Linked DNA regions of Coturnix japonica. The protein of the gene in region 4 interacts with the protein of the main gene of each other region in a biochemical or structural test. Links are inferred from orthologs where the notes say so. Each region holds a gene or a part of one and is shown on either strand. Other genes may lie near its edges.

Evidence for each region.
Region 1: the proteins of ARF6 (region 4) and CYTH1 form a complex in vitro, tested with the Homo sapiens proteins (2 studies listed by BioGRID and IntAct, with this or other methods). The link is inferred for Coturnix japonica from reciprocal best matches to the Homo sapiens genes ARF6 and CYTH1.
Region 2: the proteins of ARF6 (region 4) and RAB11FIP3 form a complex in vitro, tested with the Homo sapiens proteins (2 studies listed by BioGRID). The link is inferred for Coturnix japonica from reciprocal best matches to the Homo sapiens genes ARF6 and RAB11FIP3.
Region 3: the proteins of ARF6 (region 4) and ARFIP2 form a complex in vitro, tested with the Homo sapiens proteins (2 studies listed by BioGRID). The link is inferred for Coturnix japonica from reciprocal best matches to the Homo sapiens genes ARF6 and ARFIP2.
Region 5: the proteins of ARF6 (region 4) and HTR2A form a complex in vitro, tested with the Homo sapiens proteins (2 studies listed by BioGRID). The link is inferred for Coturnix japonica from reciprocal best matches to the Homo sapiens genes ARF6 and HTR2A.

The regions. Positions count from the first base shown.
Region 1 is NC_029533.1:4,598,398-4,604,476, reverse strand, and holds the start of CYTH1 (cytohesin-1), read left to right. Parts: upstream 1-2,580; 5' UTR 2,581-2,711; coding exon 2,712-2,784; intron 2,785-4,254; exon of another isoform or gene 4,255-4,534; coding exon of another isoform or gene 4,535-4,559; intron 4,560-5,643; exon of another isoform or gene 5,644-5,718; intron 5,719-6,079. UniProt on the Homo sapiens protein: Promotes guanine-nucleotide exchange on ARF1, ARF5 and ARF6. Promotes the activation of ARF factors through replacement of GDP with GTP.
Region 2 is NC_029529.1:11,461,743-11,466,428, reverse strand, and holds the end of RAB11FIP3 (rab11 family-interacting protein 3), read right to left. Parts: coding exon 4,636-4,686; intron 4,264-4,635; coding exon 4,108-4,263; intron 3,720-4,107; coding exon 3,579-3,719; intron 3,116-3,578; coding exon 3,002-3,115; 3' UTR 1,187-3,001; downstream 1-1,186. UniProt on the Homo sapiens protein: Downstream effector molecule for Rab11 GTPase which is involved in endocytic trafficking, cytokinesis and intracellular ciliogenesis by participating in membrane delivery. Recruited by Rab11 to endosomes where it links Rab11 to dynein motor complex.
Region 3 is NC_029516.1:174,021,020-174,026,534, reverse strand, and holds the end of ARFIP2 (arfaptin-2), read right to left. Parts: intron 5,092-5,515; coding exon 4,981-5,091; intron 4,182-4,980; coding exon 4,066-4,181; intron 3,873-4,065; coding exon 3,651-3,872; intron 3,330-3,650; coding exon 3,172-3,329; intron 3,082-3,171; coding exon 2,907-3,081; intron 2,612-2,906; coding exon 2,456-2,611; 3' UTR 1,214-2,455; downstream 1-1,213. Other genes in the region: FH2 domain-containing protein 1-like, read right to left, coding at 16-77, 146-397. UniProt on the Homo sapiens protein: Plays a role in constitutive metalloproteinase (MMP) secretion from the trans Golgi network. May have important functions during vesicle biogenesis at certain cargo subdomains, which could be predominantly utilized by secreted MMPs, such as MMP7 and MMP2.
Region 4 is NC_029520.1:52,348,522-52,354,771, forward strand, and holds ARF6 (ADP-ribosylation factor 6), read left to right. Parts: upstream 1-2,672; 5' UTR 2,673-3,159; coding exon 3,160-3,687; 3' UTR 3,688-5,931; downstream 5,932-6,250. UniProt on the Homo sapiens protein: GTP-binding protein involved in protein trafficking that regulates endocytic recycling and cytoskeleton remodeling. GTP-bound form plays an important role in the transport of multiple palmitoylated proteins form the Golgi to the plasma membrane.
Region 5 is NC_029516.1:150,664,913-150,670,451, forward strand, and holds part of HTR2A (5-hydroxytryptamine receptor 2A), read right to left. Parts: intron 1,772-5,539; coding exon 1,571-1,771; intron 1-1,570. UniProt on the Homo sapiens protein: G-protein coupled receptor for 5-hydroxytryptamine (serotonin).

The DNA.
Region 1 (6,079 bases), on a different chromosome or scaffold from region 4:
AGCCAGCCTGGGGGGCTGCCCCCACTCCCACCTCCATCACTTCCATCTTGGCTGGAGCCTGGAAGCCCCTGCTGTGCCTGCAGGCTGCGTGCCCCCCTCCTCTCTTCCTGGGGAGGGGGTCACTGACCCTGTGCTATCAGCACTGCGCCTCCCCCCGGCCCCATCCCCGCTGTGCGAGTCGCAGTGCAGCCGTCGGGTCCGGGCGGGCAATAAAACCACGCGCGTTTGTGAACGGAGTGTCCGCGGGAGGGGCCTATGGGGGTGGGGGGGGTAGAGACGTATGGGAGTGGGAGGGGTCTGCGCTGCCCACGCCCACTCGCGTCACGTGTCGTCGCCCTCTGCGGCCTCGGTGCCGCCGTCACGCGGGCGGGGCCGGAGCGACGGAGGCGGCATGGACGAGGAGGGCGGCTACGGTCAGTGCGGGGGGGCACGGGGGGCACCGGGGGGGGGCTGCGGGGCGGCTGTAGCACCGGGGCTGCCGCCGTCGGGCCGCGGGGCGGTGGTGCGGGGCTGCGGGCGGCGATAAGGCGGCTCCTCCCGGGGCGGGGTGTGCGGAACTGGGGCTCGGCCGCCGTGATGCCGCCCGTCGGAACCACCCCGGGCTGCTCCGGGACCGGCCGCTGCTGTTCGGCCTCGGCGTTTCTCCGGGGCTCGGCCCGACTCGTTCCCGGCGTTGGGCAGCGTCAATGACCGCGTTGATTCGGAGTCGTGCAGGTGGCGGCCCCACCACCAGCACCGTGTGTCGGTAGGGAGTAAATCCCGGCTGGCGGCACAGCTGTGTCCCCCCGTGTCACCCCATCCCCGGCACGGGGCGGCTGTCCGGGATCGGCCCGTCGGGGCGCCCCGGTTGTCCCAGCGCTGCGTCCCGGACTGTGCCCGGCCCAAGGGTAATCCCACAGCACCGAGGGATTACGGCTGGCGCTGCCCTGGAGGATTAAGGGATTTCTCTAAGCGGGGTTGATGCGGGCTCTGCAAAGCGGCTTGTGCTGGGGGCCCGCGGCTGGGGCAGCGCCGGGGTGGGCTGGGGGTGGGCAGCCCATTGCCAGCCCTGCTGTCTGGGTAGGACCCGGCAGGTGCCTTAGTATGGGGTCAGTGATGCGCTTTGGAGGTGGTGCAGCCCTGCAGCAGGCAGCGGGGGCTGTGGGGACACGAGGGGGTGAAGCTCTGTGCATAGTGGGGCTGGGGTGAGCACCAGGTAGTGTGGGACTGGGGGCAGACTGAGCTCAGGGGGTGGGGATAGTGGGGCTGCAGAGCATGCAGTGTTGTGAGAAAGGCTGTTAGCCAAGGTAGAGCAGAGCAGAGCGTGACGAGCAGCACTGCTGACACACAGAAATTGCATGGAGGCTCAAGCAGAGCCACACATCCCTGAGCTGTTGTTTCAGCCCACCCATGGCTCTGGGTGCACAGCACAGTGCCCTGAGCTGGGGCTGCAATGTGGAAGCAGAGACTGAGCCACAGTTGGTGCAGCTGTGATTATTGCAGCCCATTTCAAGTGCCCGTGGCTGCCCTCCCTGCACAGGCTCCCCCTGGCCCAGCCCTGTGTCCCTGCAGCTCCTCACACCTTTCACCTCTGCAGTGAGGAGGAGGCAGAAGCTGTTTGCTTCCAAGGGAAGGGGAAGCAGCACAACTCAGTCATGGAGGTGATGAGCACCTGTGAGCAGCCGTTCCCATCTCCTTCCCATCCATCCACAGCTGCTCCCAACACCAGGGTAACTCTTGCCTGTCCCCAGCCATGCCCCCAAGGTCCTGTGCCCATTCCCATAGCCCTTCCCCATCTGGATGCTATCTGCCCACCCTGGGGGTTCTCCAGCTCAGCCCATTGCAGCAGGCTCCCAGCAGCAGTCAGGACCCAGTACCAGGTGCCGTCTGCAGGACACGGCCTCATGCCCCGACAGGCTCTGCAGTCTGTTACTCACGGACGTGCCCCACGCTGGGGAATCACTCCTGCTCGGAGGAAGGGAAGGAGCTGTCTGTCCGGTTTGGGCTCCCTCGCTGCCTGTGGGGCTGGCAGGTTGGGGGCCGGGTGCGGTGGGGCTGAGTGCTGCCCCCAGCCCTGCTGGAGGCCCATAGCTCGGGCAGAGCCCCAGCTCCTGCTGTAGGAGCATCCCGGCTGCCAGGGCCTGGAGAATCATCTCCATCACAGCCATGATGTGCCAGCTCCAGGCTGCCCGCTCTGCATTCCCAGGTGCCTGAATCCATTGTGGCCATACTGGGGAGCAGCGTTCCCCTGTTCCCCACAACTGGGGGCTCCCCACGCCAGCTCCAGCCCGTTGTGTTTCTTTATGCACCTTCCTTTTATGCAGGGAAGGTTGCTACGCAACCAGCGGCTCTTGATGCTTAAAGCTCTAATACGGTGGGATAAAACCGCTCTAAAAATACCCCCGCCGTCAGCCACCCAGGGGCCGGGGCATGCAGGGGGGCAGAGGGGGGGCAGGCAGCCTGATACCAGGGGTGCTGTTGGGAACTTCCCTACTCTACGTCCTCCAAGTGGCTTTGAGTGCCCAGGAACACAGCAGCGTTCGGTGCCGGCACGGAGCGGGATTGGCTGCGACCGGCGCGTGGGCTCCTGCTGCTGGAGCCTCCCGCTGCCAGAGCCGCCTTCCCCTGCTCCAGGAGGAGCGGGGACACCCGGGGCAGCCCCAGCTGCAGGGAGCTGCTGTGCGGTGCCCTCCTGCCCTCAGCCTGCCCCGGGGGAGCCGGCACTGCGCAGCATGGGGACGGTCAGCGAGCTCTGCGCCTCCAGCTTCCAGGCCTTCCTCTGCCCCTCCGTGGCCACCACGGCAGGTAGGTGCTTTGTGCCCCATCCCTGTCCCCCCCAGCAGACGAGGTGCCCGTAGCTCTGGCTCCATATGGCTCATGCTGACAGCAGCACACAGTCCCAGTTGTCTTGCTGTCTCCTTCCACCGTGCGCTGCCAGGCTTGGGCCCCCCTGGGCTCTGGGTGCAGCTTGTATTGCACCACATTGCTGGGATGGGGAGCCCATGGGAGCACAGTGGGTTCACGTGGCACAGTGAGATGTGTCCAGCAGCTCCTTGCTCTCTTACCCCAGCGCTGCTGCGGGTGATGCCCTCACTGCTGCCCTACTCGGAGCAGGAAGGAGCATGCGTGGCTGTGAGCACAGCTCCAGCCCACGTCCTCCAGACAAAACCTGGCTGGGGCACCCTGACGCCTGCTGTGTCACAGCTGCCACCGTGGGCTGGCAGTGCCTGTGAGCTGCTGTTGTCTGTCTGCAGGCTCCTGCTCCCGAGCTGAGACCTGGGAATAGAGAGTAAGCAAGGAGCACATGGGGTGCACTCCTGGCACTCTTGCAGGACGTGGGGCTGTAGGAAGGCATAGCACAGTGAGGATGGATGTGGCTCCGTTGTGTGCCCCTGCTGTACTCCAGCCCCGCAGCCAGGATGGGCTCTGTGCTTAGGGGGTGCAGGAGCCTGGAACTGGTGGGCTGGGTTCCTTGCTGGGGGCAGGGCTGCTCCAAGGGGCTGAGAACCCCCGGCAGCTCTCAGCTATGGGGTGGGGTTGGGGGATTCTATCTTGGAGCCGCCCTATGCTGTGCTCCTGACGCACCTCATCTGTCTGTGGGGAAGAACAGGGCTGACGCAACCCAGGATGTGCACACAGCACAGTGAAAACAGGATGTGGTGCACTGGGGCAGCGGCAGGAAGTTTCTTGGGGCCCCTCAGCAACCCCCCCCCCCAGCAGTGGGGTGCAGCAGGAGCCCCATGGTGGAACCCACAAGCAATGCCCTGTGGTCAGCAGCCCCTGCCCTGGGCTGGGGCATCCCTGCGGTCTGTTCAGCTCTGCTTGTGGATGGAGCTGTGCAGCAGGAGGGCTGTGTCCCTGCAGCACAGCGTTCAGCTGGAAGGCCAATGTGAGCCTCTTTTTAGCTCCTTCTTCCCTGAGCTTTCCTGGGAGATGCTCTGGATGCTGTTTTTCCATCACACGCTGTGGAGCAGGATTTAGCTGAGTCAATGTGCCGGAGCTCTTGTGGTCTCCCCGGGCAGCTGCAGCGGGACAGGACCTTGCTGAGGGCTGTGCTGCTGCAGGCACGGCCCTATTGCAGGGAATGAGAGCAGGTGGTCCTTACAGCCTATACAGGCCCTGAACCCACACATGGGGGGGGGGATATGGCTGGACAGTGCCAGATCTTCAGGGCAGGGTTGGGGCTCTGGATGGGGTGGGAGAGGGGTCCCTGGTGTCACCGCCCTGAGCTTGGGACGTGCTGAGCCGCATGCATCCTGGCAGCCCCCGAGGAAGGAAGGGCCGGGCCAGCTCCAGTGCCTGCAAGGATGGGTGGGCGGCAGTGACCCTGGGGGCCGAGGAGGGGGCGCGGGGCTCTGGCTGCACAGGAACCGGGTGTTGCTGGTGCCAGTTCTCAGCCGGGCTGCGATGACGCCTGGCACAGCGCTGAGCTCATTGGCCTGGAGCTGCCCTGACTCACCCAGGAAGCTCTGGGAGGGGGCAGCTGTTGGCACCCCAAAGAGCAGCACCTCTGCAGCACTGTGCAGACGTGGGCAGCGGGACACAGCCCAGCAGGATGGTCCTCGGGGTGCAGGGCAGCGGTGAGCAGATGGGCCTGCGTGGGGCAGTGGGTGGGAAGGAGGCACGTGGGGCTGAATGCGATGCAGAGGGGCTTTGTGTCTGTTCAAGGCATGGTGTGAGCGGGGTATTTGCTCCTTGAATCCAGGATGGAGCCTTGCCATGCTCCTCACTGCCCTGGGGGTGAGGCAGCAGCTCCCCTGCATTGCTCTGCAGAGGTTGGGGGGATGGCTCAGAGTATTGGTGCTCTGTGGTTTGTGCTGAGAATCCTTGCACCCAGCATGGCAGCCTGGGATGATAGCCTGGCATGGGATGTTAGCCTGGCATGGGATGATAGCCTGGCATGGCTGCTGGATTTGGTGTTCTGCTCCAGCCCCCTCTTGCAGCCTTGTGCAGGCTCAGAGGTTGCTGCAGCTCCACTCGGTGCTATGGAAGGGTTAACGCCTGCGTCCTTCGCTGAGAAAAGCTCTGCGTCTGGGGTTTCTCTTCCTCCTGCTGCTGCTGACACGGCTGGGCCATGTCACGAGTGCTCTCCCAGCACAGCATCAGGCAGGCTTGGGGGGGGGCTGGGCTTTGTGGCTGCTATGAGTCCCTATGAGCCCCTTGCCCACACTGCCCGGGGGTGGGCAGAGGCTGTGTTCCCCCAGGGCTCTGTGCACCCACCGTGTGCCAGCACCGCTCTGTCGCTGCTGCAGCCTCCCACCCATCCACCCACCCTCTGTGGGCCTGGGAGGGCTGCGGTCTGGCACGGAATTTCACCTCCCACGCAGCCCCACGCTGCAGCTCCCAGCAAGCTGCATCCTGCAGGGTGCTGGACACAACTGGACCGGGGAGGCCGTGCTCCGGTGGGACCGACTCCATTCCAGTGCTAGGGAGGGTTTGTGCAGCCTACGGAGCAATGCTTCTGGCATTGTTGGCATAGATAGAGTTCAGAACCTGGTGCTGTAATATTGGGAAGTGTTCCATCGAGTCCAGAGGGATCGTGTCGCAAGCCGAGGCTGCTGCTGACCTTTGCAGAGGGGATTTCTCTAAAGGAGGAACCTCAGCAGAGAAGGCGAGTGGAATGAGGAAAGTGCTGAGCTGGGACATTCGGTTCGTGTGAGCGCAGCCACCCCAGAGGCACCGTGAGCCCTGGAGAGGAGGGGGGAACTACGCTGGGAACGGAGAGCAGACGGTGCTGGGGTGTGAGAGAGGGGATGGAGGGTCCTGGCTGTTGGGTTGCCAAGGAGTGACAGACTGAGGTGGACCTGGGGCAATGCAGGGTGGGATGGAGGGGGCGGTGGGCACCTGGGGACAGGTGGGGGGAGGATGGTGTGGGCTGCTTTGTGGTGCGGGCACCGATCTTGGAGCCTTGGTCGTGGCCTTGTTGTAGGATGTGAGCTGGAAGGTGATGGTAGGGCAGGGGTAGGCGGGGGCTGTGGGGGTGACCTTGGGAACAGGAGCAGCGGGTGCCACGTAACCGCAGAGCGGGAGGTCACGGGCTGGGGAGCTGCAGGAATGTTACCCATGAGCTGCAGTGTGAGGGGGGGCAATGGGAGCGTGT
Region 2 (4,686 bases), on a different chromosome or scaffold from region 4:
GAAAAGTACGAATTTCAGGCTGTGCATTTAGTGCTGGGGTTTACCGGGCGTTTGGATCCCCTGGTGCTGCATCCTGGAGCATCCATGTCCTTGTCCCAGAGCATCCTTGTCCTGCATCCAGGAGCACCCACGGGGATGGACCAACCGGTCCAACTGTCCCACACTGAGCATGTAGCAGCGAGCAGCGCTCCAGGACAATTCCTGCAGCCCTCAGTGAGCTTCGGAGCCACAGCTGCACTGCAAAGCCATAAACCCATGATGGGTAAACTTTTATTAATGACATTTAGGGTTCTCCTATGGCATGGTGGTGTGCAGGGACCCAACACTGGGGGCTGCTGATACGGCCCCATAACCAACCCCAGGGGGATTCGGGGAGCACTGGAACACAGAGATCTCTGCAGCAGAGCTGGAAAAGGTCCATAGCATTCAGCATCTCTGACGGGAGGGATCCCAGAAGGGTCTGGAGGCATTTCAGGGGCCTCACAGAGGGCTCAGGAGCACTTGAGACCTCGCAGGGCCCTTCAGAGGAAGGCTTGGAGTGCTTTCGAGCTGCTGCAGGATATTTCTTTCAGCTATTTCAAGGAGTTTCAGAAGAGTTTGGAGGAGCCTGAGAGCTGCTTGGAGCACTTTTGGGGCCACACAAAGGGAGGCTCTTGGAGCAGCCCAGGTGCTCAGTACTGCCCTGGATCTGTAGGGTTGGAACCACTCGGGGCCTTTTGGGGCTCCCCAAAGTGCTGAGCTGATTTTAAAGGATATTTTTTTTGTTTAAGAAGAGGAAATAATCCTGGCATGTTTCAGAGCTGCTCAGGCCCTTTAGGGATGCTCGGGGAGGTTTTGGAGCAGCCAGGAGCGGGATGGAGCAGTTTGCATCAATTCAGAGGGGGTTTTGGAGCCCTTTGGGGCAGCTTATGGGGGCTCAGGGGAGGCAGAGAGATGTGCACAGCTCAGCAGAGGGTTTTAGGGCATTTCCATGCCCAAGAGTAGGATTTCTATGGCAGTGGAGTGGGTGGAGGAGCTCACACAGCAACCCAGCAGGCTGCAGGTAAAGGGAACTCCATGTCCTCACCCACATCCCCATAGGGCAGCAGGACAACATAGGGGACAAGGACAGCGCTGGCTTTGGAAGTCCCTCCGCTCCCCCCATCCCACCCCACAGACCCTAAAGCCAACAGCAAGGAAAGGTCGATGACAGGAATGGTAACAGCATTTAATGGGACAAGAATCGATACATCATTTAAGACAATACTGCTTTCACCCTTGTGGGACTTTCCTTCACATACCGGCGGGGAGAGAGGAAGGTTTATTGGGAAGGACAGGTCGGTGTGGATTTGTTTTTGTTTGTTTCGTAGGGGCTTTAAAGCATGGTGAATGTGCAAGTCAGTGCTTTGTTTGCTTAAAACCTTTTTCCTGGTGCTTATTTACAGTTACAGTACCTCTGTGTGAGCAACAGGAGAAAAAAAAGACGATTGTAGGAACTGGGGATCGACGACCCCAAGTCGAGAAAGGCAGATCTCCAATATTTATATATTTATACACATATATATATATATATATATATGGTTTTGTGTTATACACAGATACATTTCTCTCTTCTTTAAAGTGTTAAAAAAATGATCGACCTTCGTTCTATAAAAATACCTACTCTACAAGATAGAAAAATTTCCCTCTCCATGTATACACTGATTTACACCCAAAGCTTCTCCATAAATGTACACCACGTGGCTCCGTCCCCAGGCTGGGTGCAGGGCTGTGTCAGATGGCCACAGTGCTGGGACACGGCGGCGGCTCCGGGCTCAGCTGCAGGCACAGCCCCTGGCTGACCCATAACACAGCGATGCGCTCGGAAGCATTTAGGGGGTGGCTGCTTCTCCCTTGTTGTTGGGCTGTATTGATGTTTCTGGAGCTTGGTTAGCAGAAATAGCTGCTCCATGGGCCCGGTGCAGCAGCAAAGGTGCCAGATCCTGGGGCAGTGTGATGAGTGGCTGCTCCCGTGGGTGCACCTCGCTGTGGTCACCATGAGCTGCCCACTGTGAGCATGGTCTGTTTCCCAGCCAGCTGGCACTGTGTTCAGAGCCCTCCTGCCCCTTGCAGCACAGGGATTGGTGATGCTGTGTGCTCAGAGCTCAGTGCAGCCACCCCTTCCCCAGCACAGCGTGAGGAGCAGGTTCTCCCTCTGGGACAACAGCCATCACTGGCAGAGCCCCGCTCCGTGCTGGGACAGCCAGGACAGCACACAGAGCTCAGCCCTCACACCACAACCTCTGCCCCAATCCCTGCAGGCAGGATGGAGGGGACGGCTCTGCCATGGGACCCCCACAGCAGCGTCCCTCCCTGGAGCCACAGACAGCGAAATAAATAAGGAGGTGGGTGACACTGCACTCACACCCTGTCCCGAGGATGGCCGCTCCCCTCTTCGTGCCACCAGCAAGTGAGAAGCTGTGCACGCCACCCGTTCCCAAGCAAAAGCAGCAGGGCAAGGATTAACTGCGCCAGCTGGATGAAGACATTTGCATTAAGTTAATTAAAAAATAATAATAATCATCATCATCATTCTACAAGTCCAGGACGTGTTTCCCTCTTTCCCAGATCTGCCCCAGTAAGTGAGTGTGTCATGGACACTTTGGCAAAGCTGGGCAGGGCAGTGGGGGGGGAAACGTTCCTGCTCCATCCCGGTCCCTGCAGTTCAGAGGAATCCCTCCTCACACCCGTGCGGGGCCGACCCAAATCCTTCCCGCAGTTGCCTGTTGCCTCCATTTCTCCTCCAGGTTCCCTTTCGCCCTTTGAAGCCAGAAGGGTTGCAAAAAATAACGGAGTCAGACAACAGAGCCTCACTGCTGGCGCTCTGCCCCGCTGCTGCGCCGGCTGATTCAGCACCGATCCGACGCGACGTTTCCTTGTGCCTTCATCAAGAGCAAAGACGTTGTGAGTCCCTCTTCCTCCTCTCAGAGCACCAAATCCACAGCCATGGCAGAGTGCGCAGCTTGCGGCTCTCGGCCGCCCTTTACTTCACTTCCAGGATGGAGGGGTTGGTCTCCATGATGGCCACGATGATCCTGTCAATGTAGTCCTGCAGGCGGAAGTTGATCTCTTCTTGCTTTTGAATTGCTTCCATGAGCTGCGAGGGAGAGAAGGGAGAAGTGGTCATTAATGTTTGGGGATGGGAAAAGGGCACCGATCCGTGTCTCCATGCCCTCAGCCAACAGCCCTGCTCACCCCCACCCCTGGACCTGAGGTTTCCAGGACAGTCCGAGCTGCTGGGCTTTAAATGCAGCTGCAGACAGGCAGACACACACACACACACACACATACATGTGACTGATGGTCCAGCCCAGGAAGAGAAGGCAAAGCAAAGCCACAAATTGGAAGGCAGCAGCTTCCCCTATTCCCATGAATTAGGGCAAGTCCCAAATGCTCTTTAAATCATTGCGTTCTGTCTCATGACAGCTTTCAGGTGAGGTTTGGGAGCGAGCTGTGCTGCAGCCATGGCCACATGGGCTCCTGTTTGCTGGGTGGGAAGGGGAAGCCCCAGGTACCCCAGGGAGACACGATTGGAAAGAAGCAGCTCACTGTGCACAAACCTCATCTCTGGAGACTGAGCTGATCTCGGCCGCCAGGGATTCAGAGAAGGAGGCTGAGAAGAGGTTCTTGGCTCCCTGGATGCTCAGGTTGATGATCTGCCCGTTCAGCTCATCGTTCTGCTCCTTCAGGCTCCTGTTATCCTGTTCACAACAACCACATGTCAGGTGCTGCGTGGTAACCCAAACACACCTGTCCAACCCCAATGGGTGGCTGGGGAAGGCAGGGGCTTGGCAAGGCACTGGGAACAGCACATGTTCTGCTGACTCTGACTGGAGAGCCTCTGGAAACATGGGGCAGGTCTAGGGGATGCAGCATACAGGGATCCTGCATGCACATAATGCACTTCAGAGGAAGGATCTGAATTTCCCTGTCCCTGCACAGGGGAGCAAGAAGCAGCAGGATGCTGCATCCATCGTCAGCTCGTGGGAGGGAGAACCCCACCAAGCAAGGAGGCAGGCAAAAGGGGAAACAGCATCTCTTATTGCAGAGCGATTGCAGAGACTCTTTCCCCTTCCCAGCCTCACCTACCTGCTTAAGCTGCTTAATCTCCTGCTCCAGCTCCGTCTCTCTTGTCCTGCTGTTGTACTCCTGCAGCCCCATGCTGCTGCTCCGGCCTCGCCGCTGCTCACATTCCAGTTTGAAGAGCTGCAAGTGCTCGAGCTGCTTCCTGAGGTCCTCAATGAGCTGCAGCAAAAGGAAGAGGACAGCTGAGTTCTGGCCCTATTTGCAGCTGGTGGGACACACTGGTGGTCTCCTGGCTGGGAGCAGCTCCCTCCTGCTGCAGTGGGATGTGCTGTGAATCCCCACATTATGCCACAACAACAGCAGTTTCCACTCTGACCCCAAACTCCATTCCTGACATGATGGCAAGCACTGCTTGAACCTCCAGCTGGAACTACCTGGAAGGAGTTGGGGAGGGGGACATGCTTTTGCCCCCCAGACACGCAGACAGCTGGGAGCTCTAAAAATTGGTTTTGGAGATGCTGCTGGAGCTAGAGTTGCAAAACTGCCTTATTTTGGCAAGGCAGGGCTGCAATGGGCAGCCTGACTCCTCACCTCCTGGGTTGACTCCTTCTCCTTCTGAAACTGGTGCCTCTCGTGGCTCAG
Region 3 (5,515 bases), on a different chromosome or scaffold from region 4:
CCCAGCCCCGCTCACCGCTTGAGCTGCTTCAGGAGGACGCCGAGGGCGATGCTCCGCTTGGGCTCCAGCAGCGCTGCCTGCGGGTGCGGCGCGGTCAGAGCGCGGGGCGCGGTAACGGGGACGCGGGGTCCCGGCCGCATCTCACCGCGGGCGGCGGGCGCTGCCCCGGGGACGCTCCGCGGGGCTCCCGGAACAGCAGCCGCAGACGGGGCAGGTCCAGGGCCGGCGGGGGGGCTCTCGTCGCCCACACCGAGCGGCGGCCCCGCACCCGCGCCGCGGACAGCGGCTCCCAGTGCAGCGCCCGCAGCCGCTCGCCCCGCGCGGCCGCTGGGGGGGAGGGCAGCGCCGGGGGCGGCGGCGGCGGCGGCGGAGGAGCGGGGCTGCGCTGCGAGTCCATGGCCGGGGCGGGGGGTGGGGGGTGAGCGCGGCCGCCCGGCTCCTCTTACGGCCCCGAACGGCCCCGCCCCGCCTCGGCTCCGCCCCGGGAGGATCCGCCGCTCCCCCGAGTACCGGCCCCGGTCCCAGCCCGGCGGAGCGGGGCGGCTCAGCGGCCTCGACACGAGCTCGTTCCTGGGCCCCTCCGCCCGTTCTCACCTCGCGCCGGGCAGCGACGGACCGGGACAAAACACCGACCCGGCACCGCTCCCGCCGCCCGCACCCGACGGTACCTGGACGCCCCGCGCCCTCCCCCGGTCACAGCCCCCCCGGCTCCCCCCGTCCTGCTCCGAGATCCGTTCTCCCCTCTGTGCTCCTCCCATCCAGCCTCGGGCTCCGCCGCGCTACGAAGCTCCCGCTGATGGCGTTAAACCCGGTGTCAGACCGACCCAGGGCGCTCTCGGCTCGATGCTGGAGATGGTAACACAATTCGTTCCCCTCTTCTGGTCCCCCTCATCCCCGGTGCTTACAGGGCTCCATCGGCCACACGGCACCCACAGCCAAAGCAGCACCCTGGGGTGGGCAGGGGAATAGGGCGAGCCCTGATGCTGGGCCCCACACGGAACCAGACCCACAGAGGGAGAAGTGGGACAAGAACTGCAGCAGCAGAACCAGCTCTGGGCCTCGGGGAGCCATTGGCATGCAGGGAATCCCCGTCTCAGGTCTGTCTGTGCCGTGCACAGAGGGATCCACACCACAAGATTCTGATCCACACTATTTTATTCTGATCTGTACTGCTTTATTCTGATCCATACTGTTTTATTCTGGAGTCTTACAGCCTTCACCAGGAAAGGGGGGGGGGGAGGTTGTCAGATCCAGACATTAAATTACCAGGAATTAAATTAGCAAGAAAAACAAACCGTCTTGTCTCGGGAGAAAGTGCCCAAGTGCTGCACGTGGCCGGGGCTCGAAGCAACACTCAGCTGGAGCAGGATGAGCTTGTCCCCACGCTGGGATACCGGGCAGGGCCCCAGCGCTGCCACACGCGGAGACGCAGCCGCAGCCGCAGCGCACACGGACACGCACATGCACCGTCCCTGGGATGCAGCCACCCTTTGGTCCTTGGTTTGAGTCCCCACCACCCCTCGAGGTGCCTGTGGGTGCTCAGGGAGTGGGGCTGCCCACCTGCCTCCAGGGTTGGGAGCACAGCGCCCTGGGGAAAGCAGCCCTCAGCCCAAGGGCCGCGGCCAAACCCTCCTGCGTCCACCCGTGGGAGCTGGCAAAGCCCCGGCCAGGGGATGGGAGCTGCGGCCTGGGAGACAGCCAGGCACAACCACCCCATCGCCAAAGGGAGTGTAGTGTGGGGATGGGGGCACCAGCCAGGCTGGGGGAGTGCGAGAGCAGCTGCCTGGGAGCACCAGGGATCAGCCAGAGGGGACGGGGCAGGTCTGGGGCAAGGAGCAGACAGGAGCCCCGGGCACCAGCTGCACCAGGGCTGGGACCTCATCCACCCCTCTCAGGGTCCAGGAGGGGACCCAGCAGCCCCAGGGCCACCCCTGTGCAGCTTTGTCTTCATTTCAAAATATACATTTTTTTTGCCAGAGGTGGTGGCACGTCCTGCCCAGCCCTGCGAAGCCTGGCTCAGGGAAAGCAGCTGGGACACGTGGAACTACGTACCCTGCTGCACCATGGGGAGACAGTGGGGGGCTGTGGCACATCCCACCCTGTCCCACAAAGGTGCCTGGTGGGGTCTGAGCAGCCCAGCCTGAGGAGGGGAGTGTCTGGCCCTACGGGGTCCTGGGAAGGCATCCACCATCCCACCAAGGGGTCAGCGCTGGGGAGGGAGAACAGGGCTGGGCAGGATGGGACTCCAACGGGCTGGGGGAGTGACCCACTCAGAGCTCCACCTGCCCCTAACCGGGTCCCTGCCCCATTAGTGCCCCCCGCAGCAGCAGGGCCGAGGCTGCATCCCCAGCTCACCACTCGTGATTGTGGTCTGGCCCTACACCAGCAGTCAGAGGTCCCAGTTATGGTCCATGGCTTCCCCGGCTGGGGCACAAGGTGGGGCAGGCTGGGGGGCTCACTGCTCCTCCAGCCAGGAGGGCTTCTCAGCACCAGGGGTCTTCAGCTTGATGTTGAACTGCTTGAGAGTCTGCTCCAACTGCTGCTGGTTCCCAGCGAAGTAGGCAGAAATGGCGTTGTGAAAGAGCAGGAGCTGCTTGTGCATCACCTTGATCTGGGGAGAGCAGGAGTCAACACGCAGCCACCCAGCCCCACTGCCCAGCACCTCGGGACGGCAGGAATGGGCCAGGACAAGGTCTGCCCAGCACAGAGCTGCAGCAGCCAGCTGGGAGGTGACCACCCACTGCGGGTGGAAGGCAGGAGCGTGGCAGCTCACCTGCTCTTCCCCTCACAGCTCCCCAAAAACGCACCTTGAGCACAGAGCAGCAAGGCAGCGCAGCCTGCAAGGCAGGGCCAAGGGACACGCGTGCACGACAGGGCCCCATCCTGTGCCCCGCAGCCTTCCCCACCTTGTTCTCTTCCAAGAACTTGAGCTTGATGGCCACATCGGCTCGCAGCTTTTCATACTTGTCCTTGTGGCTCTGGAACTGGCTCTGCGCTGCATCCAGCCGGCACAGGGTGCTGGCATCCCGGGGGCCCATGCTCAGCTCCTCCAGGTCTGTGCGATACGCATCATACTCCAGCCTGCGCAGGGACAGCAAAAGTCAAGAGCTGCAGAGCAGTCCCTCCTTCCAATAGCTGCAGCCAGACCTGCGGGCCACACTGCCGTCCTACCTGGCTGTCTCGTACTGCTTAACTGTCATGAGCGTGTCCTCCATGGTCTTATTTACCAGCGTGTTGATACTGGATACAAAGAAGTTAACAGCTCCCAGTAGTGTTTCACCATTCTTGCAAAGCAGTTTCTGTGTTTCTGCGTTGTAACCAAACTCCTCCTGCAGTAGGGAGGGAGGTGGGTGAGGGGCTGCGGCAGCACATCCCGTTGTGTCTCTGCCCTCCTCCAACTGCCCAGACCCAGCCTTGCTCCAGCTGTGCCCAGGAAAAGCCAGCAGCAAAAGCCCCACACCTCTCCCCAGCCCCACAGCAATCACACAGTGCACCTGCCCTCAGCCTCCTCCCGCTTTCCCTCACGTGCCCAGCGGTGCTGACCAGCAGAGCGTTGCCCAGGCCGTGCTGCAGAGACCCCAGGGTCACTGTGGGTCTCCTCCCCAGGCAGAGCAGAGACAAGGCACAACCCACAGCCCCACCAGGAATACCTGCAGCTCAGGAGATTTCTGGCTGAGGTCCGCAAAGGCATCCCCCAGGGCATGCTGTGTCTGCACCAGGCTGTAGAAGTGGTTGGTGAGAGCCCGTGCAAGCTGCAGCACACACTCGTACTTGCGCTTTGTCTCCCGGAGCAGTTCAATCTGTGTCTCCAGCTCCAGGTCCACCGTGCGGGAGCCCCGGCCAAACCTCTCTGAGATCAGCTGTTTGGTGCACTGCGGGCAGAGCAGAGGGAAGGGGTGTCAGGGCCTGGTCCCTTCCCATCCCTGTAGGGCTGCTGCACTGGTGCCGAGATGTGCTCCCCATCCATCACTGCTCCTTTGTCCCCTGCCCAAGTTCTCTGCCCTGCTGCACAGCCAGAGATGTGACATACCTTGTATGTATTGATCAGCCAGGGATGCGACGTACCTTGTATGTGTTGATGCCCCATTTCTTGACAATGTCAAACTTCTCCACAGCGATGCCGCGAACAACCTCCTCCCCTCCGACCGGTGGGCTGGGATGAGGCTGGTGAAGCCCAGAGCCTGGAACACAGCACAGCAGTGAGGCTCAGCACAGGGCTTGGATGCAGGCCAGGCTGCCCACCCCACACTGCAGTGCTCTCAGGGCTGCTGCTCCCAGGGCCACACTGCGGCCTGATGAAGTGCAAGCAGAGCAGACTCCTGGTGCAGGCAGATCCACCCTGGGCAGCCCCATGAGATGCAGGCAGGCAGCGGCTCCCCCCTGCCAGTCAGGCACTGCTACCAGGCTCAACAGAGCCCTCAGTGTCCTGTGATTTGTCACCTGCCTGCAAGCAGCAGGACTTGGCCTCTTGCAGCACAGAATCTGGCCCCCAAAACCCTACTAGACATTGATAACCAAGGCCCTGGTGCTCACTGCATTGGCTGCTGCCCACATGGGAGATGCTGTTCCCCCTTTCACTTGCAGAGCTGCTGGCAGGGACAGCCCTGCACACCAATGGCCCTGGTGCTCCTGTGCTAGGCAATACTCCTTGTGCTCCGGGGCATGGTAGAGGTGGAGGAGAGGCCAGGCAGACACACAGTGCATCCCACAGCCAGGCACAGCTCGGCCTCATTGCCTGGTGCACTGTGGTTTGGAAGTGCCACGTGTGCCCCCAGCACAAGAACCGTGAGTAGACTCTGCTGCTGGGGGAGGCATGGGTTGGGTCTGGGTTGCTTTGGGTTGCTCCCCACCACAGCAGGGCAAGAAACTGACCCTGAGAAACACTGCACACAACGGGAGCCTTAAGCCCGGGCCCTAAGCCTGAGACAGGAGGACTCAAAGGCTGTGTCGCACCATGGGGCGCTGGGGTGGCTGCAGTACCTGCTGAAGCACCAGCCTGGCTGGCCATCCTGCTGGCGGCAGATGCACTGGGGGAGATGGATGGTCCTCGGGGTGAGTGAGGTTGGACAAGACAGCCTGGAAATGGAGGGGCTGGCAGGAGGTGAGCAGAGGGAAGAGGTGGGGGGGGTGTGAAGGACACGAGGGCAGGAGCAACCAGGACACAGGGATGAGTGTGCAGGAAGGGTGGCAGCAGGGGAGCAGATGAAAGAGTGATGTGAAATCAGTAGATACAGATGGCAGCCGCACAGACAGCATCACGTCAGAGGCACCCAGGCTCCTCTCTTGCTTCCTCCCCATCCCCAGGCTGGTATCAACACGTACCAGGTTGAGAACTGGGACAGGCCAGGACTGACAGACACAGGGAACCACTGCACAATATCCCCCCAGCCACAGCAGGCTGTCAGCAAAAGCTCATCTCCCCTCTGCCTAAGTTAATTCACCCGTTCAGCCTGGCACAACATGGAAGGACCCACAGTGAAAACAGTTGTTTGCAGCAGATGGGCCAGACTGGCCA
Region 4 (6,250 bases):
ATGTCCTCTGGCTTCCAAATGTCACCTGTAATGAAGATTGAGGCTGCTCACAGATGGGAGAACTCAGCTGCCCCATGGAGCCACGTATTGGGAACCACAGACCTTCAGAAGGAGGGCTATAACACACAGCTTCTGCAGAGCCTAAATGCCCAGAGCTCCTTAGCATCGCCATACTGCTTCCGTGCTTAGCAACATACTGATGTGTCTGAGATCATCCTGGTGTCAGCAATGGCCTGGTCCAAAACCAGCTCATAGGTGTCCAGGACAGAAGCTACTGCCCAGCCCAGGCCTGTATGTCACTGCTCAGCTACCACTGGGGTGTGGAAATGCAAGAAAAATTGATTGTCTGCGCTAAGTGCAAAGGCACAGTGATGCACTCAAGGTACAAACCAAACCCAAACAGCCTGGAGGTCAAACTGTTCCTCCTGCTGGGAGGGCACTTTCCAAGGGCTCTTCTCTGCATCCACAGATGGATGCAGGATATCCACGGAGATCAGGACAAGGTTCCCAGTGAGGAATGCAGGACTGCCAGCAATTCTCCATGGTCCTCACTACACCATCCCAGCACACACCAGGGCTCACAGATCTGCTGCAACCACAGCACTCAACTCCCACCCTGAGTCCTGCCCTCGCGCTGTTACATAAAACCTCACAGGAAGAAGCTGAGGATCTGTTTAATGCTGCACTACTGATAACGTTTGCATCTCGAGCTGAAGCTTCAGCTTCCTGGCCAAGCCCCGCTGCGGCTGCACAAACACAGATGTTGCAGAATGGCAGGAAATACGGCTGAGATGCCCTGGGGCCACCTCCGTCACTCTCTGACTGCAGCTGCCCATGGAAAGCACTACTCTGAATTGTCCCCCCTTGGACATGGCACTCGCCCCACTGTATCAGATCTCCTGGTGATAAGAAAACTGCCATAAAGCTGTGATAACAAGGATGTTACTTGTTTTCACAGCAGAGCTTTGCTAACACAGACACTAAGGGCAAAGTATGAATGCATAGTTCTATGAAGGTTCTATGAAGGATCATAGAATCCCAGAATGGCCTGGGTTGCAAAGGCCCACAGTGCTCATCCAGCTCCAACCCCCTGCTGTGTGCAGGGTCACCAACCAGCAGCCCAGGCTGCCCAGAGCCACATCCAGCCTGGCCTTGAATGCCTGCAGGGATGGGGCATCCACAGCCTCCTTGGGCAACCTGTTCCAGTGCGTCACCACCCTCTGGGGGAAAAACTTCCTCTTTTTCCCTTCTCACTGTGCCAAAAAATAGTAAGCAAGATAAGCAGCAGCATATTAAAATAGGGCTGTCCTGACAACCCACATTGATTGGGAGGGTAAACGATATTTGAGTGATAAAAAGAAAGGGTATCCCTTCTTTGTATTGACCCATCCATCTCCTTGAAGTTTGCTTATTGGTTATGACACAAAGCTGAAGTTATCATTGTCTTCCACCACATTCTTGTGACAGCACTTGCACCGTGGCTGGAGGACAGAACAAGCAAACACAGGCTGACACACCATGACAGACACAGCATCACACGCTGGTAGCTGTGCAGCTGGTGAGGGAAGCCATAAGGAGCAGGCAGCTCTGCGGCCAGGCCCAGCCAGCAGCAGGCCCTGCAGCCATCTGCAGATCTCCTGAGCCTCTAATCACTTTATAGCTCTAATTACTTTATGCTCTCAAGGCTGGAGTCCCACGCTGGCAGCTCAGCAGGACGTCCTGCAGGGACACAGCGGGTGCTGCCTCCTGCAATGTTTGCCTTCAACATGAACAGGTCGGGCCCTCCCAAGGACCTGGGCAAGCCTTGAATTCTTTAGCAGGTCGGTGAAGGCCAAGCCCTGTGAGCAGGGCAGGACTTGGGGTCACCTAGAACACGCTCAGGTATCGCGAGGGCTTTATGTGGGTGTTTGACCTTGAGGATCAACCAGCAGCACGAGAAGTGGAGCTTTATTGAGGGTGTGTGAGGTGCCAGCACTGCTCCAGGTGGGGCTGTGGGCTGTGGGTGCTCATGGTGAGCTCCCATTACACCCGCAGCGCTCCGTCCCAAAGGCCTTAGCACGGCACGGCCAGCAGCAGCTCCGAGCTGCGGTGCTGCCCATGGACACAGTGCGGGCTGTGTGCAGCCATGTTAGTTCAGAGCAGCCACGTGTGGAGCTGGGCAATGACACAGAGCAGCCGCCCAGCTCCATAGCGACAGCCAGCACCGGGCACGGGGCTGAGGGCCTGACTGGGCCTAACAGCCAGCACAGCTCCCACATCTCAGCTCTCTAACCGCACACCGCCCCCCATATCCGCCCGGTCCCTTCCCGCGCTGTTCGTGTCCCTTTAAGACGCTCCCGGTTCCCTCTGACGTGCGATCACGTGACTCCTCTCCCCACAGCAGCCCGGCCCCGCACGCATGCGCACTGCGCCCCCAGCCGCCCCACCCTCTTTGGGGTCACGCTGCGCGGCCCGCAGTGCGCATGCGCGGCTCCCCCCGTCACCCCGCGGTTCCCCCCCGCTACTTCCGGTCCCGCCGTTCCTCTCCTCGCACGTTTCCGCCCACGCGGGAGGGCGGGGCTCCTTCCGCCCGCTCTGCGCATGCGCGGTGCCGCCCCGAGGCCGCGCGGCGGGAAGCTCTCCGCTCCCCCCGCCCATCGGCGGCGCGTGCGCGTGCAGCGGGGCGGGGCGCGGTGCGCATGCGCGGTGCGGGCGGAGGGGAAGTGATTTGGGCAGCGCGGCGCCTTCCGGCGGTGCGGGCTGAGGGAGCGGCGCGGAGCGGAGCGGAACCGGCTCCGAGCGAGGCCGGCCCCGACGGGACGGAGCCGCGCTCCGGATCTGCCTCGTCCCGGCCCGTCCCGCCGCACGTGAGCCGAGGAGCCGAGGAGCCGGGCGGAGCCGAAGCGGGATCCGGGCTGACCCGCCCTCCGGGACCGGCGGGCGAGCGGGGCGCGGCGTCGGCGCGGCCCTCGGACCCCCCCGCGTTGGCCGGGCCTTCCTTTCCTTTCCCCCGGCCGTTCCTCCGTCCCGCTCCCCCGGCCGCCGCCCCATGCTCGGTTCCCGCTGAGCCGCGGCCCCGGCCCCGCTCGCTCGGGCCGCCCGGGGGCTCTCGCCGCCCGCACCTCCCCCTCCCCCCGTCCCCGCCCCGCTGCAGGCGCCGGGCCCTTGGATGCCGCCGAGATGGGCAAGGTGCTATCCAAGATCTTCGGCAACAAGGAGATGCGGATCCTGATGCTGGGGCTGGACGCGGCCGGCAAAACCACCATCCTGTACAAACTGAAGCTGGGCCAGTCCGTCACCACCATCCCCACCGTGGGCTTCAACGTGGAGACGGTCACTTACAAAAACGTCAAGTTCAACGTGTGGGATGTGGGGGGGCAGGACAAGATCCGGCCCCTCTGGAGGCACTACTACACGGGCACGCAGGGCTTGATCTTCGTGGTGGACTGCGCCGATCGCGACCGCATTGACGAGGCCCGCCAGGAGCTGCACCGCATCATCAACGACAGGGAGATGCGGGACGCCATCATCCTCATCTTCGCCAACAAGCAGGACCTGCCCGATGCCATGAAACCACACGAAATCCAGGAGAAACTGGGCCTGACCCGGATCAGGGATAGGAATTGGTACGTGCAGCCCTCGTGTGCTACTACAGGGGACGGACTCTACGAAGGGCTGACATGGTTAACGTCCAATTATAAATCCTAATGAGAGTAACTATTTAGTCTACAAAGAATTAAAGAGAAAAGAAAAAAAAAAAAAAAAGAAAGAAAAAAAAAAAGAATAAATGACCCGCCCGGCTTTCCGGAAGAATGATTCTCTACAGAAAAGTAAAACAAAAGCATCCATAGGATTACGATCACCTTTCTCCAATGACCACCCTTTCCTTCTCCACACCTGACTGGATTCCTGTTTTAACTCTCCTCGCTTGGCGTTAGGATGCTCTAACCTCCGAATGTGACACGAACACGAGCACTAGATGCTATGGCAGACCTCGGCAAACAGGGGAAAGACACATTGTAGACTTGCTAAGTAACTTTATTTTTCTCTCTCTCTCTCAAAGCCCTTGAGATGGTTTGGTTGTTCTGGGGCCGGCTGGGGGAGGGCTGCCGTTCTCAGTGTATGCTTTTCTGGTTCGACTTTTTTGATGATATTTTTTGTTCCTCTCTCACTTTGCTGTAGATTGCTACTCTTTTGCCTTCATGCGGAATATGTTGATAGGTCGACTTCATCTAGTAAACGGAAAACTCTTGCTTCAAATCAAACCGCAGTCTGTCTTTTTATATTAAGGACTTTTTGTAAAGTTCTGTTAATCTGTAACTGAACAGTGACTCTTGGTCTGGCTCCGTATCTCAGCCTCGTAACGAGACCAATTCCTGCCCGCGGTGGCAGATAGGAATACCATTGTAACACGTTCAAAGTGCATATCAGGCATCGTGTTCACTAGGTAATGTAAGAACTGCTTTGAAATGTCAGCTGTGAAGTTCTGAACCATACATCATGCATGAGAAGGGATGCAAATGAGTTCCCCATCCTACATGGCGACCATATAGCGAATAAAACACGAATGATGTAATCATAGTTCCAGGGTAGATACTGTTCCGTTTCTGTCTTGCATTGCCAGTTTAATGATGTTTAGCTGCAGTTTTTACTCCTTCGGTCAGTCTCCAGTTCGATGTGAGACAGGTTCCTTCCAGCAACACGCAGCAATAACCTGCAAGCGTTGCAACAAGTTTTACTCCAAATTGGCGGGTTGGGGCAGAAGTCGAGCACTGACTTGCCTGCCCCGGGATGAAGGCAACGTTGCTTCATCCTCGGGCCTCTCGATCTTAAAGGATTTCTCACTTTTGGCATCACCTTAAGGCATCTAAATCTCCACGGGGTTTCTCATTTCTGAATGTGTGGCATGGAGAGAACAGACAGAGCCCGGCTGCTCGAGCTGCGGTTGTGCAGCGGGGCTGAGCTGAGGGCTGAGTTCCTGCATGGCCGTGCAGCGTCGGCCCTGAGTTGTTGCTGCAGTGCTGTAGGAAGGGAACCGTGTTGGCTGTCTGAAACCCATTGAGTAACTGCCAATGAGAGCGGGGTGGAGAGAGTGAGAATACGACTATGAATGTAAACTTCCATAATTAGTTCTTAAAGGGCAAGCAGCTCATTCGCCGTGCCACAGCCTGCAGGTGTGGCTGGCAGAAAAACCCCACCCAGAGCCAGTAATGAGTGTGAGGTCTCAATCAAGTGTTAGTGCTGGCCGCAAAACATACTAAAGCAGCTGGTTCTGATTCAGCCTTAAGGATTAACTTCAGATTTCCTCAAGGAGTTAAACTCGATTGGGGAATTCTAGGAATGTATGCTACAAAACCAGAAGAAAATGGCTTTTTTTTTTTTCCTCAAGGATATAAGTTTGATGTGAAATTGGGGCATTACGCTACGGTTGTGCAGCGTTGACTCTGTGTGCAAAGTCCATTGTGTATGGAGCTCTTACCAAAGATGAATGGGAAGATTAACACACACATACAAAATAACGCTGAATTCACTTCTGGAATTGAATGTTTTGGACCATGTCGAAGTAACTTTGGACCATGTCAAAGTAACTTTGGACCATGTCAAAGTAACTTTGAATCTGGTTCCAAACAACGTATATCTCTGTGTGGGGTGTGAGTGGGACCGAGTGGGTTCATGGTGCTGGAGGATAGAGCATTGACTGGGAGCCCTGCTGAGCTGAGCTGAGCCTGGTGTCCAACCACTGCAGGCTCAGTTGTGGAGGAGGGGGGAGCTTCCCACCTTATTGCTGTCCGAGTGTCACTGCTCTATTTTCCAGCCTGTAAGGCTTGTTTTGTTCCTCTGATGTAACTTAACCAACAGTGTGGCGGTATAAAGGTTCAAATGCGAGAATACGGTTTTCTGTTTTCTTCTGGAGCATAAATAAAACAGCCAAGCACAAAGTAAACGCCTAAACTGGAAAACTTGAAGCTCTCTCAATGGTTCTTGAACTCTTTCAAATCTCTTCTCAGTCCAAATGCAAATGTCCATCACTCCATTCCCGTCTCCTGGCCAGGCTTTGCATTGCCTCACATCCACCAGTTTGTGCTCTGTTGCTTTTAGACGTTCTGTTTGGGCAGGAGAAAGGAAACTGATTTGTTCTCTTCTTTTGTCTTTCGGTTGTTTGGTTGTGGGGTTGTTTTTATTTGGGAGGGGGGTGTGTGGAGGGAGATAAAAGCGACCGGAACGTGGTGGAGACTCCACAAAGCAATGGCCATTGCTGCCCAGCACCTCC
Region 5 (5,539 bases), on a different chromosome or scaffold from region 4:
AGTGGATACCATCTTCACTCATGCCACACTGTGTGCCTTTCAGTAAAGCAAGGAGTTACATCTTTCAGATTAAATAGGGTCTATGTTTGATTACTTGCCACAGTGATAACAAGAAAAATCTGTGGCTCAAGATATCAAAGAGCAAACCGCTCCTGCTGTAGGACATAAACCATATCCTAACCAAAAGGGCTTAAGTAATAGATTTTTTTCTAAATTCATTTAAATAGTGATCTTATTCAGAAGCTCTGCTAGCAAGTCACTGTCTACAGAAAACTGCTGAGGTGCACAGACCCTTGATTTGCTCCTTCTGATCTTTCTGTGACTTTGTTAGTGCAGGCACCACACACTAATACCAACAAATGCAGTACAGACAAACTTAATGAATGCTTCACTTTTTTATGTTGTGCAGAGAATGCTTACACTTAGCAATGCCTGAGACTGGGAAAGAAAGAACAGAGATGATGATGTGTTTTCTACTGGATCAATAAGCAGAGGGACTATGGTGTACAGAGGGTATCATTCTATGATTCTATGGCTATAGAAACATAATGTATGATTCATGTCATCTAAAGGGAGACATCTGCAGCAGAATTAGTTGGCCTAGGCTTTTTGTGTAGTTTACAGAGAGCTAGGTGTTCTTAGGGTGGTGTTCATATGTCATGTGCAAGACATCTACATCTGGTCAGATGGACATGCTATGAGCCCCATGTGATGCTGTTGGACCTCACTAGGTCTGGGTTACATTGGAGAGTGCACAACTGCCCTGCTATTGAGAGAGAGCTACCACTATCACTTGATGTTCTGCAGAAGATTCAGATATTCTAACCCAGAAATATGCTGGAGTGCACACTGGGCTGAGAGAGGGATGCCAGGAACCTCAAGGACCATCAAGATCCAACCCCCACCAATGGAGGCAGGGCCACTGACTTCCATTTCTAATGCTAGATCAGGCTTCCCATCCAACCTGTCCTTGAACACCTCCAGGGACAGGGCATCCACAGCCTCTCTGGGCAGCCTGTTCAAGCACCTCACCACTCTCCTGTATAAAGAACTTCCCCCTGACATCCAACCTAAATCTTCCCTCCTTCAACGTAAAACCATTTCCCCTTGTCCTGCCATTGTCTACACTTGTAAAGAGTTGACTCCCTTTCCGTTAGTAGTCTCCTTTTAGGTACTGGAAGGCTGCAGTGAGATCAGTGAGTGAATAAGTTTGCTGTCAATGCACTTACAGGGAAATCTTTTCAGTCAATATCATTTTTTTGTTTTCAGATGTTATGGCAATGGTGGATAATCAGTGTGGGAAATAAAAACATTTTTAAGACAAAACTGAACCTAACAGTCTTATTGCAGATGTTTATTCCTTCTATAACTGTGTTGCTCAGCTTCAACTCCATTTCATGTTGTCATTACTGATTGTATATTGCTTAATTACTATGTTACAGCACTTCTGTGGCTGTGGCAAGAAAAGCATTGCAGTCAGAGAACACAGTTTTAGACTGAGATGTGTATCTGTCTTAGCATCTCAAAAGCTAGAAATCAGCAATTACATACTGCAATATTGCTCACTTACCAACTGATATGGTCCAAACAGCAATTATTTTGGCAAAAGCCTTTGTTCTTGAGTTAAACCGGCTGTGGTAGATGGGGTTTCGAATGGCAATGTAACGATCCAATGAGATGGCACAGAGGTGCATGATGGAGGCAGTGGAGAAAAGCACGTCCAAGTAGATCCAAATGGCACAGAGCTTCCTAGGCAGAGGCCATGTGTATCCTGCACAAAAGAAAGTTGACATCAGCTATAATGTGATGTAGTCACATCTTTTGTTGTGAAGCATTTTTCTGACTGCACATGTACTCCTAGGACAAGCTGGCAGTAAGGAAGCTGTCTGACAATTTCTCTATTTCTCCTAATGTTTGATATTGTAATCAAGAATTATTGGCAGCAAATCTATGGAAGGAGAAAGAATTTTGTCACTGCAAGTGTGGAATTTCTCAGTTTTCCATTAGAATTTTTCATTAGTGTGATTACTGTGTTATTAATGCCTGTTGATCTACAAAGTCTTCTCAGTTCTGAAACTGAAACTTCAGATTTGGTGGCAGCTGGAGAAGGAAATATGCTTAGTTACATATCATTAATGTCTGTGACACCTACCTTTAAGTAACTTATTTCCACATATTTAGATAAGAAGGATATTCTAATATCATCAGTGAATATTGTTAGGCTACTCCAGAGACAGCGATCCAAAGCTAGAGTTTATCAGTATCAATCCTACATGTTCTTTGCTGCAAACTAAGCCTTTCTTTTTCCTTATTCTTTCCACTGGTAATGAAGAATAATTGATTACTGTCCTTACTGAAAGCTATTGGAAGATGGCTATCACGTCTTGTCTATCTTTTTCTATTCCAGACTAAGCAAAGCCAGTTAGTTCCTTTATCTTCTGCTTGCAGATGATGTTTACAGAACTTTTATGCCTCTTGTTTCTCTGCCCCAGAATCTTTTTAATTTATCTTGCTAAGACTGCAGGGACCAATGCTGGATGCTGTTCTTCATGCTGCTGAGAAGGCCTCCCAACTGTTTCATGGGTCTTGCAGGGAATGCTCTTACTTATCTAACCTGGAATGATGAGTGCCTTTTGTATAAAAGCATCATACTTATGATGCATACTTAGCTTATGATTCATTTTGACAGTCAGATATGTTTCAACATTCTGAAGCCTGGACTAATTTCCCCAGCAGGTGTTGGTTTGATATCTCTTTCTAAGTGGATAACTTTGCATTTATCCTCTCTAAATTTTATTTGTTCATTTTAGACTTTCTCTTTTTGGATTGATGATTCTGATCCTGTTCCTCTGAGTGCTTGTTGCCTCTCCTACCTTGGGCTTTTAGAAAATCGTACAAGCTCATAGTCTATCCAAGTTGCTAAGCAGGCACAAGTTAAGCAAGACCATCATTCTAAGGTCCTTTCTAGTCCTAAGGAACCACCAGTAGGTCTTCTTGGGGCATGTTTTGCAGTTAACCTTCCCTTGTCTGTTGGTGATTTAATTTAGCATATTACCCAAGCTGCCCAAGAGTGTGTTGCATAGGACAATGGTAAAGCTGATATTGTGTGAAGATATAATTTTTTCAGGCAGTGCCTGGCTCATTTGGAAACACATTACAACCAAGTTTGCAACAGAAGGATTAGAGGCAGAGGAGTTACGTCTGTGCCTAATTACATTTACTCTCTCTAAGCACCGTGGAGTCCTATTTCCTGGTGCTCTTGGTTGGCTGTAATGTGACTGATTCTAATAAGCCATACGGTATTTATGGACAAGTTTTATCTTTTTCCTGGTCTTTCAAAGAGGAAGCCAGTCTCTGGAGAGCATTAAGTGAGGGCTGGATTTCAGAAGCATGTCTTCCTAGCAGCCTCTCTGTGAAGCCAGGATAGTTTGCACAGGGAAAAGGCATAAACTACTTTTGCACTCAACAACGTGCACCTGTTCTCTTTCTGAACAGATTTGTCACACCTTCCAGACTTCTTGTCCTTGCTCTAAACCTGGATGGTGTAGGGGCAGGCAGCTTTCTATAGATAAACCTTGCCAGAAGAGGCAAGTGATGCTTGTGCATCTGTGCATTGTCAGGTTGAGAGGCTGAGAGGAAGGGCAAATAACACCTGGAATGAGAAAAGATTTTTCTCCTGTTGTACCTGGATAGTATCAAGAAAATAAATGTTTTATCCCAAGGCCTTTCAGGAGAGGAGGTGGAGAAGTGAAGCTGGCCAAGATTGGTAACCAGGGATATGGGAAAACTGAGTGAAGAAGGACTATGGAAAGAGTCTGTAGGCAGGCATGATTGCTGAGAAGGACTTGTGTACTGTCCTACCTTGTCAGAAGCACCTCAGCTGAGGCCTCAGAGTTAGCTCTGAGCTCATCAGGAGCCCTTTGAAGCACCTGGTCTTTCTGCTTCAGCAGGTAAGAAGCATCTGCCAATAAACCCAACAGCATCTCCATACTGCCATGGGGCAAATCTCCAAGAGATGTTCCGAAACAAGTTTGAGTGGGAAAAAGTGCTGCTCAACTCCATGTTTTCTGCTCTGTGGGCATATTCACCTTTCCTGGATAATGTGAAAGTGTTGCAGAATATCTTTTCAGTGGGAGGCTGGAGCTGTTGTGTAGATGGAAAAGTCTGCCTGGCCTCTGTTAGGCAGGACATTTGACCAAGGAACCCCAATGGGAATTGCACACAATAATGATAAGGTTTAGGGAAATAAATCATCTTTGTTTTGAGCAAATTTGTCAGAATCTCCCTGCAAGGGGCTGCAGAGCAAGTGGTGGAGCACCCTCATTGTTACAAAGATCCCTTATTCTGACTAGGGATTACTGCTATGGATGGCATAGAACCATAGAATCATTTGGACTTGAAGAGATCTTTAGGGTCATCCAGTCCAACTATGAGCTACATTCCATCACTAAACCATATCCCTTAGTGCCACATCCACACATCTCTTAAATACATCCAGGAATGGGGACTCCACCACATCCCTGGGCAGCCCATTGCAATGCTCAACCAACATACTCCATGAAGAAATTCTTCCTAGTATCCATTCTAACCCCCCTGGCATGCCTTGAAGCCATTCTCTTCCATTCTGTCACCATGTGATACTGCCTCTCTGATGCTGCTTGTGGGCTGCCTTCCTGCTTTGCCCACATCCTGGAGGTTTGCAGGACTGCCTGAAGGAATGCCAGTCCTCATCTCCCAGATATTTCCCATCCATTGGGGCTTCGGGCCCTTTGGGGTTTCCTTGGCAGCAGAACCTGGCCAGCAGGAGTCCCTGTTGCTTGTCTCAGGGAGGCAGGCAGTGTCAGGAAGGGTTTATGTTCACCTTATGCAATGGATGGTTTCTGCAGCTTTACACTGCCTTTCCAGATGCTGGAGTGATTGCACAATTAGTGCAGTGAATCACAGCCTTATACGCTAACCGATGTCAGCACCATGTAGAAATGTGGAAACTGGGAAATAAACTTCCAGTGTGCTGGATGAAACCTCTCGTAAGTTACAGCCTTGCACTCAGACAGCTCTACTCCTGAAACCATGCAGCTATAGAAACCTTTGCAAACAACCTCACTTTTCTCCTGGCACTGTCTGGCTTCTATTTCGACTATAGCCACTTGCTACTGGAAAACTCATTTCTCAAAGTTGAGGGATGATAACAGCCAGACAATATTGACACTGAACACACAGGCTGCTGCTTTTTCCTACGCGAGCTGTGCTGCAAATGATTTCAGTACAAACGAGAAGAAAGGTCTGCTATATTAATCACCTACAAGGGGCTGAACTGTGAGTCATAATCCATGTAATTCTTAAATATCTTATGGTATTGTAGCTGATATTTAGCTTTGCTTCTGTAAATGTTAGTAAAAATTAGGCAGAATTAGTTCCCATCCAGTTTTTAACTCCCACAGTATTTATTGCAGCCTTTCTCTATAAGTGGAGGTCTAAGTAAGATGTTGGTGTTAAGGGAATTTTTAAGTTTGAATTACTTCATTAAAAAAATTAAAGG